Linked DNA regions of Coturnix japonica. The protein of the gene in region 2 interacts with the protein of the main gene of each other region in a biochemical or structural test. Links are inferred from orthologs where the notes say so. Each region holds a gene or a part of one and is shown on either strand. Other genes may lie near its edges.

The links.
Region 1: of the proteins of TOP1 (region 2) and TOPORS, one has a biochemical effect on the other in vitro, tested with the Homo sapiens proteins (2 studies listed by BioGRID). The link is inferred for Coturnix japonica from reciprocal best matches to the Homo sapiens genes TOP1 and TOPORS.
Region 3: the proteins of TOP1 (region 2) and NKX3-1 form a complex in vitro, tested with the Homo sapiens proteins (2 studies listed by BioGRID and IntAct). The link is inferred for Coturnix japonica from reciprocal best matches to the Homo sapiens genes TOP1 and NKX3-1.

The regions. Positions count from the first base shown.
Region 1 is NC_029547.1:59,568,157-59,572,149, reverse strand, and holds the start of TOPORS (E3 ubiquitin-protein ligase Topors), read right to left. Parts: upstream 2,805-3,993; 5' UTR 2,753-2,804; coding exon 2,591-2,752; intron 1,250-2,590; coding exon 1-1,249. UniProt on the Homo sapiens protein: Functions as an E3 ubiquitin-protein ligase and as an E3 SUMO1-protein ligase. Probable tumor suppressor involved in cell growth, cell proliferation and apoptosis that regulates p53/TP53 stability through ubiquitin-dependent degradation.
Region 2 is NC_029535.1:4,190,329-4,193,839, reverse strand, and holds part of TOP1 (DNA topoisomerase 1), read right to left. Parts: intron 3,153-3,511; coding exon 3,038-3,152; intron 2,395-3,037; coding exon 2,267-2,394; intron 1,145-2,266; coding exon 1,050-1,144; intron 505-1,049; coding exon 355-504; intron 34-354; coding exon 1-33. UniProt on the Homo sapiens protein: Releases the supercoiling and torsional tension of DNA introduced during the DNA replication and transcription by transiently cleaving and rejoining one strand of the DNA duplex.
Region 3 is NC_029537.1:2,308,700-2,312,944, reverse strand, and holds the start of NKX3-1 (homeobox protein Nkx-3.1), read right to left. Parts: upstream 2,805-4,245; 5' UTR 2,664-2,804; coding exon 2,450-2,663; intron 974-2,449; coding exon 600-973; 3' UTR 1-599. Other genes in the region: NKX2-6 (homeobox protein Nkx-2.6), read right to left, coding at 4,230-4,245.

The sequences.
Region 1 (3,993 bases), on a different chromosome or scaffold from region 2:
TAACACAGTTGTCTGATGAAGAGTCACTCTCATTGGAGTCAACACCAGCCTGTAACTGAGGATGCAGTGTGGTTCTTTTCCTAGCAGAATCCTCATCAGAACTTTCTGACATCTCCAGAGGAGAAGCTGCAGTGGCACGAACCTCTTCTGAAATGGAATATGAAGGCCCTGGAGTTTCATCGTCCCAAGGGGCCTGACCAACCCCAGACACGGATGAACTGTGTTCTGGCCCTTGAAGATCTGCCTCATCTGGAGAGATTGTAATAATTGATGAGTCTGAGCGGCTTCCTTCATCATACGATGGCGCAGGACAGTCATAATTGGCATGCTGATCGTATGCCTCTAAGTTAAAAGGACATCGGGCAAAACTGATGAATTCATGTAGGAAGTGTTCAGTCCGATTCAGTAGAAATGGCTTTAAATCATCAGCAAAAGCCTGGCTTTCCAGATCATACCTGGTCACGTTACTCATGATGATGTGTTGTACAATATTAACTAAAGAACCATGGGCACCAAACAAGACTGTAAGCTCTCGCTTCAGCCAGGGAACCAACCTGTGTAGGCAAGCAGGGTTGTGGCGGAAAAACTCTGCGGAAATGTCTCGATAGCGGCCACCATCCTGAATGCTACGAACACGCACACCAGTGCGGTACAGGGCTCTGCGGAAGTTTATCATGTCCTCCTCTTGGATCTGCCGCAGAGATCTGCCCTCTGCACTAGCCTGCCTACGTGAGGCCAGCCTCCTTATCATCTGCTGAATCTCTCCATCTCTCTGCCGCACAGGTTGGCTGGACAACCCTTCAAACAAAATCCCATTATCTGGAGGGGACAGCGTCCTTCGAGAAGAGGAACTGCCTCTATGGTAAGAGGAGGTGCGGCGTTCCCTCGTTAAGGTGGTACGGTAACGAAATCTCCGGCCATCAGGGCTGGCAAAAGAACCATTTTCTGAAGGTCTGAGTATGTATTCCTTAAAATCATCTTCAGCACGAACTGTATGGAAAATAGAAAAGAAAGGCTGTTTGCAGAGTGGGCATTCTGCTTTGTTTTTTGACCACTCCTGAACACAACGGAAGCAGAATCTGTGCAAGCAACGATCTAGATAGGCAACGTTGTCAAATCTGTCCAAGCAAATGGGGCACTTAGAGTCAGGAGAGGCATCTGTTGGCATGGTCTGGTGCAGCTTGCTGTTGCTAGCTTTTGGCAAAAAGCTGCTGTCTTCTGGAAACTCCTTGGCTGCATTAGTTGTGTTCTGCAAAAGAAAGAGACAAAAAGATCATTACTCTTCCTGAGAGAAAGAAGCGTTTAAGTCTATACACAGAAACATGCAACGGTCAGCTATAAGGTTAAAAACGCCAGCATTAGTTGTGAGAGAACACGAAACAGAGAAGCAGTACAACTTAACTGCTTTGCTTGCTTCTCTTCACTTTAAAAAAATCAGGCTTTCCAGTGCAGCCATCTTTAAATGGAGCCTATAAATGCTGGTGTCTTCCCCCTACTCACCACTTTGGCACAATCAGTAAGATTAGGATTCACACAGAATCCTCCAAAGCACACTACCAAAAGAAACCAGCACTTAAGATATGAAATATGGGAGAAGTTAATTATCTTTTGAAAACACTTTGCATTTAGCTGGTCCAGCAGCGCTGAGTGCACCCTGTACGTATTGCTGGACCAGAAGAGTGGTCCAGGAATGCACAGAAGTGTTCTTGCTTGGATGATATTGCAGCCAGGTGTCACCCCTGCACCCACCCTTAGACCCACAGCCCCTTTGTTCCCCCAGGCTGTCGGCAGTACTGAGCATTAATCCACCTAGTCTGAAGCTATGTGGGGGACCAGTACTGCAGACAAATGCCTGCGCTGCTTCCTGAAGAGTAAAAGATGGTTCACAGAAATGAAGGGTAAAAACAGTTTACAGAAGCAAATATATGGAGGCTGCTGTAAGAACGGGGATGGCAACAAGCTGGGATTAGGACAGTGGGGGGAGGGGGGGTGGAGGACATAAAGGGAAGTGTTCTGAGAACATTTAGTGTGTAAGTGACCAATGGACAAAGCAAGTTAGAACTGGCTCAAGGGCTTCTCCCCTACAGGGTTAGAAGTTTATAGCGTGATAGACTACAAGCCTTCACCAGGAAGACGATGAGCCTTCATCTACCAACCACCAGGAGACCCCCAACTGCTCATGACGCATGCGCAAGAGGGAGGGACCGTATGCTAAGAGATTTTTTGGGAAAAATAATGAATAAGTATACGAATTTAGCCGGGAAATATTGGTAATGGTTGGACTAGATGATCTTCTAGGTCTTTTCCAACCTTGATAATTCTGTGATTCTGTGGTTCCGGGAAAATTATTAATTATGTATTAACTCTGCCTATATCTGTACCAAGCTTTTGTCCTACGCTGTGCAAGTTAGGAGGAGCGATGCCCCATATGCGCATTAACCACACCTGCTCTCTATCTGTCGGGCTATAGTTTGATTCCCCAAGTCCCCACAGCACCCCCTGATCGCGGTGCCCACAGACCACACGGACACGCTCCTCCACCCAGGCCCACCCCGTTCCTTCCGCTGGGCCGACAACCGCGGTTGCTCACCTCTGCCGAGCCCTCGCTCCGAGCTCGAGTCCGGCCCGATGGTGCCTTCAGCCCGTGCCGTGACCGGCTGCACACGTTGTTGGCCCCGTCCCGCCGCTCGTCCCCCGCGGGATGGCGGCGTTGCCGCGCGGCCTTCGCCACGCCAAGCGGAGCCTCCGACATCGCCGGCGGAAGTGGCGTTGCCAAGGGAACTGTCCCCCCCCCACCCCCCGGCAGCGGGGCGGCGCCATATGACGTCACAACACCGGTCGATGGTTTTATACGTCACTTCCGCTCTACCTGATGATACCGTAGTGCCGTGCGGAAGCAGCGGGTAGTGGACTTCCGGCCGGCTGCCCGCCATGTTGCCTCAGGAGCGGCGGGATCCGCGCCCGCTTTACCGCCTGGTGCGTGGGGTGGGGGGCGAGGGTCTGGGATAGGCAGCTCTGGGGTAGGCAGCTTGAGGCTGGTGCTGACTGTTGGTTTCGTAGGTGCTGGCCGCTTTGGTGTTGCTTTCCTGGGGCTACGTGCTGTACGGGGCGCGGGAGGCGGCGCGACGGCAGCTGCAGAGCGAACTATCGGTGCCTCGGCTGCCATAGCACGGCGGGATGGGCGGACACCGAGGGAGCTTCGGAGAATGGGAGGAGCTGCTTGGCCAACACCGCGAATAAAGGTTCAGCTGCTGTAAGAAACAAGGACACGGAAGCTTTAATCCGCTCATTGATTGTTTGTTACATCGTGTTCGAGGCTGCAGTCTGCTACAGCGTCTGTGTGTAGCCCCAGCTCTCACCCTGTCCTCATAGGAGAGGTGTTCCACTCCTTGGGTCGTTTCTGTGTCCCTCCTCTAGTTGCACTCCCAACAGATCCACGTCTCTCCTCCGCATCTGGATGCAGTACTCCAGGTGAGGTCTCACCAGTGCAGAATAAAGGAGCAGAATCACCTTCCTCGACTTGCTGGCTGTGCTGATTTTGATGCAGCCCAGGGTACAGATGGCTTTCTGGGTTGCAGGAGCACACTGCTGGCTCATATCCAGCTTGCCATGTACCAGTACCTGCAAGTCCTTTTTGTCAGAGCTCGTGTTCATTGGTTTCATACTCACTACCCTCGAGTCATCCCAAAGGCAGGTGTGCTTCTGCTGTCATCCTTCAGATACTCCATTCCTCCCCTCACACCCACACAGGCCTCTCTACCCATCTGTTTCCTTGGTCATTTGCAGGGTAGAGTTATCAACAGCCAGCCAAGCTGAAAGTTTGCTATCAAATTACATTCCTCTGCAGATATATTTCCTCATGGGGTTTGACAGTAATGCTGAAGCACTTTGGCTTGCCAATACCAGATATATGCTGTGATCAGCAGTCCTGGTGCTGGCAGTTGCTTTTGCTTTACTCATACTGGTTGTGCCAGTTACTGCACCTGAGACACA
Region 2 (3,511 bases):
ATCTTCTCTATAGGAATTCCCCACTTCTTACACCTGCAGGAAAAGAGATGCTGTTAAGTGTCAGCCCAGCACGGGCTCTCGTGGTGCAGCTCCATTACAGGAGCAGGACCAGCCTCCCATTGCTGCACCCTGCACGTTCTGACCCATCCCCTCTCAGCATAGAGCTGGCCATGACTGGCACGTGGAACCTGGCCCAAGAGATCCACTGAAACCACATGAAGACAGAAGGGAAGGCCATAAAGAGGCAGACCTCCTCGGCAGCACAAGGGCGCTGCTCGCATCCACAGCCCTTGCCTACAGACTGTAGGATTACACGCACGTGAAGGAGCAGTTCTGCACAGCCCAGACACTTACCAAGCAACAGAGATCCTAGGATCCAGATAGTTGAGTTTGGAGGTGCTCAAGGCGATCTGCTTGTTCTCCTCCCTATCTGTAGCCTGAACCTCCAACTTCATCAGCTGCTCCTCAATCCTCTGTACTGCTTTCTTCTTGCTCTCCACTGCCCTGGGGGTGAGGGAGGAAAAAACAGTTAATGCCTAATGCCCTGCTGGGCTTCAGACAGCAGTGCTGTGGGAAGGCAAAGGGACTCTGCTCCATGTAAGCAATGCCACCAGCCTCAAAAGGCAGTTGTGTCAGCAGAGATGGTGACACAAAACACTCAGCACATGCAATTAAGAACTGACATTTTGAAAGATGCAGCACAGAAATCCTAAGCAGTAGTTTTGTTTTAAAGGGTTGGAAGCAACAGCCTCAACTACACTGATGCTACACCCACTTTAAAACCAACCCACCTATCCCTCTGTAATAGTCATGTTGTGATTCTGCCTTCAGAGCTCCCTTAACCCAGCAGCCCTGTGACTACTCTGCAGAGCACAGACGGCTTGAAGGCCATTTCTTCATGCACAGAAGAAAGAGGGGATAAGAAAGCTTGAGAAAGTCTTCCCAAATCAATTGGATCACAGGCTGGGGAAACAGAACAGAGGGCTGAAGCACCCAATTTGAGCTCGAGGTACTGGGAGCATTGCACAGCCTAGTAGTACCAGCCTTACTTTTTAGACTTCTCATCCCTCCGGACCTTGGCATCAGCTTTGGCGCTTTTCAGTTCTCTCCTGGCATCAGCTAACTGCTCCTTCTTGGCATCGATCTAGGAGAGGCAAAACCAGAGGGCGGCACTGTCAACAAGCTGCAGACAACTGTGGCAGTCACCCCTGGGCAGCAGGACCAAAGGAGTGAGTTTGTGACCAAGTTCAGAATTTATCAGCACTCAGGTGCACTTCTGCAGAACAACAAGGCCACTAGCTTTTCAGTTTACTGCAAATGCTATAGATGTGAGAACTTCCCCTTGGAAAACAGGGTTCCAGTCATTGCCAAAGACAAGGTGGCGTGCTGGCAGAAAGCTCCTGGAAGCCTTCTAATAAAGCTACAATGAAGCAGGCAAAGGGACCTGCCAACAGCCCATCTAGGCAGCTTGTCTATCTTGAATGTATCCCACCAGTACCAGTTCTGAAAGTACCATGGAAGAATGATCCCTTTTCCCTCCACAGGGATCTGTTGTTGCCCCCAAATCTTTCAGGCTGAAAAGTATTACGGCTTCAAGCAGTTCTCCACTGGTAAAATTAGGATTTGGGGAGATTCAGCATTATGCAGCCCCTTCAGCCAATCCCCCTTAAACATTCCCCCGGCTCTAAGATCTAGGGTGAAGGCAGCCATGTTAGGTGTTACAGAAGCAGGGGTCACTGCAGTGCAAACCAGAAGTCCTGACTGTGAAGGTTATTCTAAAGACAGACCAGAAGCAGACCTATCCCCTTTGGACCTCACAACCTCCACCAGAAACAATTTGCGAAGGAAGAGGTCAAGTCAGAGGGGTACAATGTGTCACATATGCAGCCTGCACTGACAGTGGCCTGGGATTCACACAACTGGAGTAAGTGCCCACTCTGGGTTCTTCAGGGGATACAAATCAGAACTAGGCTGCTGCTCTAAAATTTTGATGGCAGCAGAACTCAATATCAGATAAGCAATGGAATAAAAGGGTCTGGTCATGGTCTTTACAAATGTAAGGGTACTAGAGCTCAAAGGTGGCCCTTTCAGCACAACACTGTGCTTCTGGAGTCTGCCTCTCCAAGCAGGCCCACCTGATGGAGCACTAACCAACTCCTGACAGGGAAACACAGGCTCTGCTTCCATTTCACCTCAAGTGAAAGGAAACATAACTCCTGGGACACAACACTTGGAGCCCTGCCCCAACCCAAGGGTTGGGGGGTACCTTGCTCTGCAGGTTCATCATGGACTTCTCAAAGGTCTTCGGTGGAGCCCTCTGGTGGTTACACAAAATGGCAACCGCTCTGTTGGCACGGTTATAGGAAAGGATCTTCGCTGGGATGTTATCATCCGCTGCAAAGTAAAAGAAAGTGGTGAACAACTCATGTCCTACAGGACTCAGCAGCCCCTATCAGCACTTCCCAACAACTCCACAAGCTCAAAATCAATGCAGGAATGACCTTGCCCTCTGATGGGACAGTCTCAACACTACATTCTAATCGAAGTGCTAAAAGCCTGAACACTTCCATTCCAAACCTTAACTCTTTCAACAGCAACAAAGACAACATTTGTCTCTCAAGAGATAAGGGAAGCATAACCATGCTCAATAGTGGAGTACTGCTCGAGGCACTGTTGGGCTTCAGTTTCCTCCAACATGTCCACTTTGTAAAGTCATTGAAGTGTAAGCTCGCAGCTCTCAGTGTGTCTGAGTGAGCAGCCAAGAACCATGGGGTTGTTTATAGAGACTGCCTGTCACCTATGGCATTTTACAGTTAACAGGAAACAAGTGGAGATTTGGTAAGGGCCAGGCACAACCTAGCAGGCAAACTGTAGTGTGCTCACAGATGAGCCCTGCGCTGCCTCAGCACTGGGCTGTTCAACCATTCCCACACTAGGAGAGCAGCAACCAGGGAGTGGCAGGCAGCTGGGAGGTTAAGTCATGCCTGTTCTGCAGGATGGGAACTGTCCCCCTCAAAGCTGCAAGGACAGGACTTACGGTTAGTGAGCTCCTTGAGCTGCTGCTGTAGCGTGATGGAGGCATTGTAAGTACGGAATACCTTGGCTGTCAGTCCCTCCATAAGGTCTTGAAGATGTTTATTTAAGATACTGGTCTAAGGAAGCAGAAAGGAGAAAACAGAATTAGAATTGACTACAGTACGGACATCTCTGGACACGCTGATGATGATGATACAGCTCACAGCAGAAGCATAGCTCATGTACTTGGACCTGATACCCAATGGCCAAAACATCACTGAAGCCACAAGAAAAGTGAACAAAGAACTGGTAAGTATTAGACTAGTATCAAGCACCACGAATGGTCATAGAACTTTTCTTCACTGTGGAGGTTTTGGTTCCCAGCAGGTAGAAACATGCCTATCCCATTCTACAGAGCGTGCTTATATCACCACAGTGCTCCCACAGAGCCAAACGTGTTAGGGATGGCTTCTCAAAGTCTGTCAACTCACAGTCA
Region 3 (4,245 bases), on a different chromosome or scaffold from region 2:
CTTGGGGGAGATTTGCAATTGATGGATTGCAGGTGGAAATGCAGATATTTTTTGAGATGAAACAGCTGGTGTATGGGGTGAGCTGTTGTGCTTCACCCAATCAGTGATGGGGGGCAAAGAATTGGGGGTATAAGCAGAGGGATGGATGGGGGACTGTGTTTTTACAGGCACTCATCATATCTTGCTTTCTGCCCCCAAAACAGTGCCCTGTTTGATCACTGTTAGAAGCTTTGAGGATGTTTAGTTTGTAGGGCTTTTTGTTTCTCTGGCTAAAAGCCTGGCACTGAGAAAGGGTGGTGATGCAATGAGAGGGTGCTGAGCATCGCCTGGGATTCTTTGCTGCAGATTGAGCCTAGTAAAAGCTTCGGGGATTTATTATTGATAATAGTAATAATAATAATAGCAATAATAATAGTAATAATAATTATAATCTGGATCTTTAATTTTTGATCATTTCTGATTTCTTTGGCTAAAACTCTCACGATGACAGAGGCTGGAACTGCACAAGAGGACACTCGAAGTCGACATCTCTGAATCAACATGGCCAAGGGCACCATGGCATGAGGGGGGTGGGCTAAAAAACACACCATGCACAGCTCTCACCACACAGCAGGGCTCCAGTAACAGAGGCAGGGCAGGCAGCGAGCAGCCCCATGTAGTGCCAGCAGTGGGGCTGGGGGTAGAATAGATGCTTTATGAGTGGTCCCAACCTCCAGGCTGGAGCCCCCCGCTCTCCTCTTGGTCTTGTAGCGGCGGTTCTGGAACCAGATCTTCACCTGTGTCTCACTCAGCTGCAGGTTCTGGGCCAGGTGGGCACGTTCAGGGGCTGACAGGTACTTCTGGCGGCTGAAGTTCCTCTCCAGCTCCAACACTTGGCTGTGGGTGAAGGCTGCCCGTGAGCGCTTTGCTGGCCGGGGGGGTCTGGGCAGCACCTTCTGGGGTGGATCATGGCTGCATGGGGAGTTATCAGCATCTGTAAGGGGAGAGGGCTGAGCATCACACACTGAGAACTGCCCCAAACTCTGGGTTATTTGGGTTTTCATCACCCAAATCACTTTTTCTCTCAGTATTTTCACCATCCAGACTGCCTATTTCCTCACTTCTTTCTTTCTTATCCTCTCCATAGAGTGAAGCATTCAGAAGCCACTTTCCTCCTTGCTTTCTAGTTGCCCAGACCCCTTATCTCCTTACTTTTGCTCACCCAAATCATTTGTTTCCTCCATTTTCATCACCCAAGTCACTTGTTCTGTCATTACTCACATTTCTCCTTTTCCATTCACTTCCACAGAGCAAAATATTCACAAATCACGTTTTCTCCTTGCTTTTCATCACCCACATCACTTATTTCCTCTGTTTTCATCGCCCCAATCACTTGTTTTCTCATTTTCCCATCACCCAAACCTCTGATTTCCCTACTTATTTTTCCCCTTTCCTACCCCTTCCTATAGAGCAAAACCTCCCCACCACCCTGGAGATCCTCCAACACAGTGATTTCTCTGCTTGATAGACTTAATCTCATCCAAGGGAGCTATTTTCTCCCAAACAACCCCCTCTTTTAGCTCCTACAAGGAAAAAGCAACCCCCAAAAGGGCCATTTTTCATTGCTGGTGACATCTCGAGGCTCTGCTGTTGCATACAAGGTGCCATTGGGATTTTTACAGCATCACCTGTAAGCTGTGCAAACCTCTCCAGCCCTTTATTCACTTTTATATAGGAGCTTCTATTAACAGAAGCGACACAGAGAGCCCAGATTCCCCTTGCAAGGTCTCTCTTAGCAAGCTCAGCTTTGCTTATTGGATGTTGCAGCTCAGCTGCTCCCATTGCACAGCTCAAAGCTGCACTGCATCTGAGTTTTAATGCAATTGCATGCGATTTGCAGCACGCTGCTTCTGCAGGTTTAGCCACTGCATGCTAAAAGGAGGTGCTGCTGGGGTTGTTTCTATAGGAGTAAGGCTGATGTGCATAACACGCATTATATGCAATGCAATAGGTAGGAGCAGAGCGTTGCAACTGGTGCTGAGAACCAGCATATACACATAGTCTGCAGTGCAACAGGCAGGAGCAAAGCATTGCAGCTGGTGCTGAGCATGCAGGAAAACAAGCAGCAAGTGCAACAGTGAGCTGCAATCAATGCACTGTAAGTACAGCAGCAGCAGCACCCAACAGCTGCACCAAGGGTTGCATTTGCATTAAAAGGAATCTTAAGCTTGCTATTGCAGAAATGCATCCTCTAGGCTTTTTAATAACCAAAGTTGGAGGTTGCTCCTGTGCTTTGAGTTAGCTGAATTGCCTGCAGAATGCTTTGCATGCAGTTGCTGTTGCTCTCAATGCTCCTTGCATTTGAAGCCTGAGTAACTTGGGAATGCATGGGTTGTTTAGGTCAGAGGAATTCAAAGCTGAACCCTCATCCTGCTCTAAGGGTAAGTATCCCACAACACCCCCCCCTTACCTTCATTCACATCGTGGGGCTGTGCTGGGGACACTCCAGGGCCATCCTGCTGCTCTCCATCCTCTGGTATCCCACCTTGATCCATCTGTGCCCCATTTTCAACCCCATCCCATAGGATGTCCTGGATGAGGAAGGACGTCCGAGGTCTGGACGAGGTCTGCTGGGGGCTGCTGGAGGCTCTGTGCCCCCCAGGGCTCAGCACCCCAGTGCTCATCCTCTTCCTCCTCCAGCTGCCTGCAGGCTCAGTGCCTCCCCACCCTCCAGCTCAGCATTTATTGGGCCCATGGCCAAACCTCCAGGGCCTGATTGGAGACTGGGACGTGTCTACACCCTTTGCTGGTGTCCCAGCATTGCAGGATTTCTGCTGAAGCACAGCAAATCCCTTCTGCTGCCTTGCTCAGGACACCCATCCCCATTGAACCCTGCTGGGGTAACCCCATGGCTTTTATTCTCCTCTTAATTCTAAGAGCAAGATACCCAAAGGGTGTTCATCTTTTTGGGGTAAAAGCAGGGTTTGGGAGGTGTCAAAATAGGGTTGTTAGGATATGATGGTGCCACTTTGGATGGGTGCTGTGGGTGAGCAGAGCACCTTTTGCATCTCGACCCTAATCCCAGTGGGATGATGATCTGAATGCTGCACTTCTGGATGTGATTTATATCCAGGGCAATCCCTAGAGCTCAATGGGGAATGCAGACCCCAGTGGGGGTGAAATCAACCCCAAACCCCAGACTGATTCCCCACTGTTGTAGACCATGAGTTGCAGAGCAATACTGATGTGAAATCAATATAATGATGGTAATGCTCAGAGTAATTAAAACAAACAACCAAACAAGCAAACAACAGAGCAAAAAGCTCAAGAACAAAAACTCAATAGGTTTGCAGAATATTGTGTCATGAGGTTATGTGTTATTATATTGCATTCTGATGTAGGGCAGCCCTGGGTGAAGTAGGGAGTTGGACTCAATGAGCTTTGGGGTCCCTTCCAACATGGGTTGTTCTATGCCATGATGGTGTGATATTGCAGAACATGCATCTTTCCATTTGAAAACACATGAATGAAACCTGGGAACCACCCAGAATTTGGGCAATATCCCACTTTCCAGCAAGTCCTTTTATTCCAGTGATGCTCATTGCATTTTCCTGCAGCTGGACCATAAATCTCTGTGATGTTGGAGCTGCCCGTGTGCTCAACTCATCTGTCCATAGGTCTGTCCTCAATGCATGGCTCAGTCCTCTTTTCCTTTCAATGCTGACTGCAGAATAACCCATAACATTGGTCCAAAAGCATTGGTTTGGGGTTTTTCAGCTCCGGGGACCCCCTCATGGCCATTTATTGCATTACATTTTGACTGATTTGGGTTTTGTGGGAAGAGATCTGCCTCATTTTGAGGTGGGCAGTTTCTAATTTGGGCTGTGCCTGTAAGTCATTAAGAAATACGAATATCCCAAAAGACGAGAAGAACTCAAAGCCTTAAATAGAGTGCTCATGGAAAAGCAAAGGCGCAGTGGTGTGCATAGACCCTGTTCCCTTAGCAAGAAAAGCAGCATCTGATCCTTATGCATCCCACAGGGGCATCCCTATGGGGTGGGATGGGCTCCATGATTATGTCCTAATAAATAAACGTCCCTGGCACTGGGGTCCCCAAATCCTCAGCACCAAAAGTTCCTTTCCTTGGGCTGGATGGTGAGGATGGATGTGCCACATCCTGCTGTCCATTACGGCTTTGGATGCCCCCATCCCTTTCCTGGGCCACATCCCAAATGGTGCTGAGCCCAAGCTCATGGTGTGAGCACC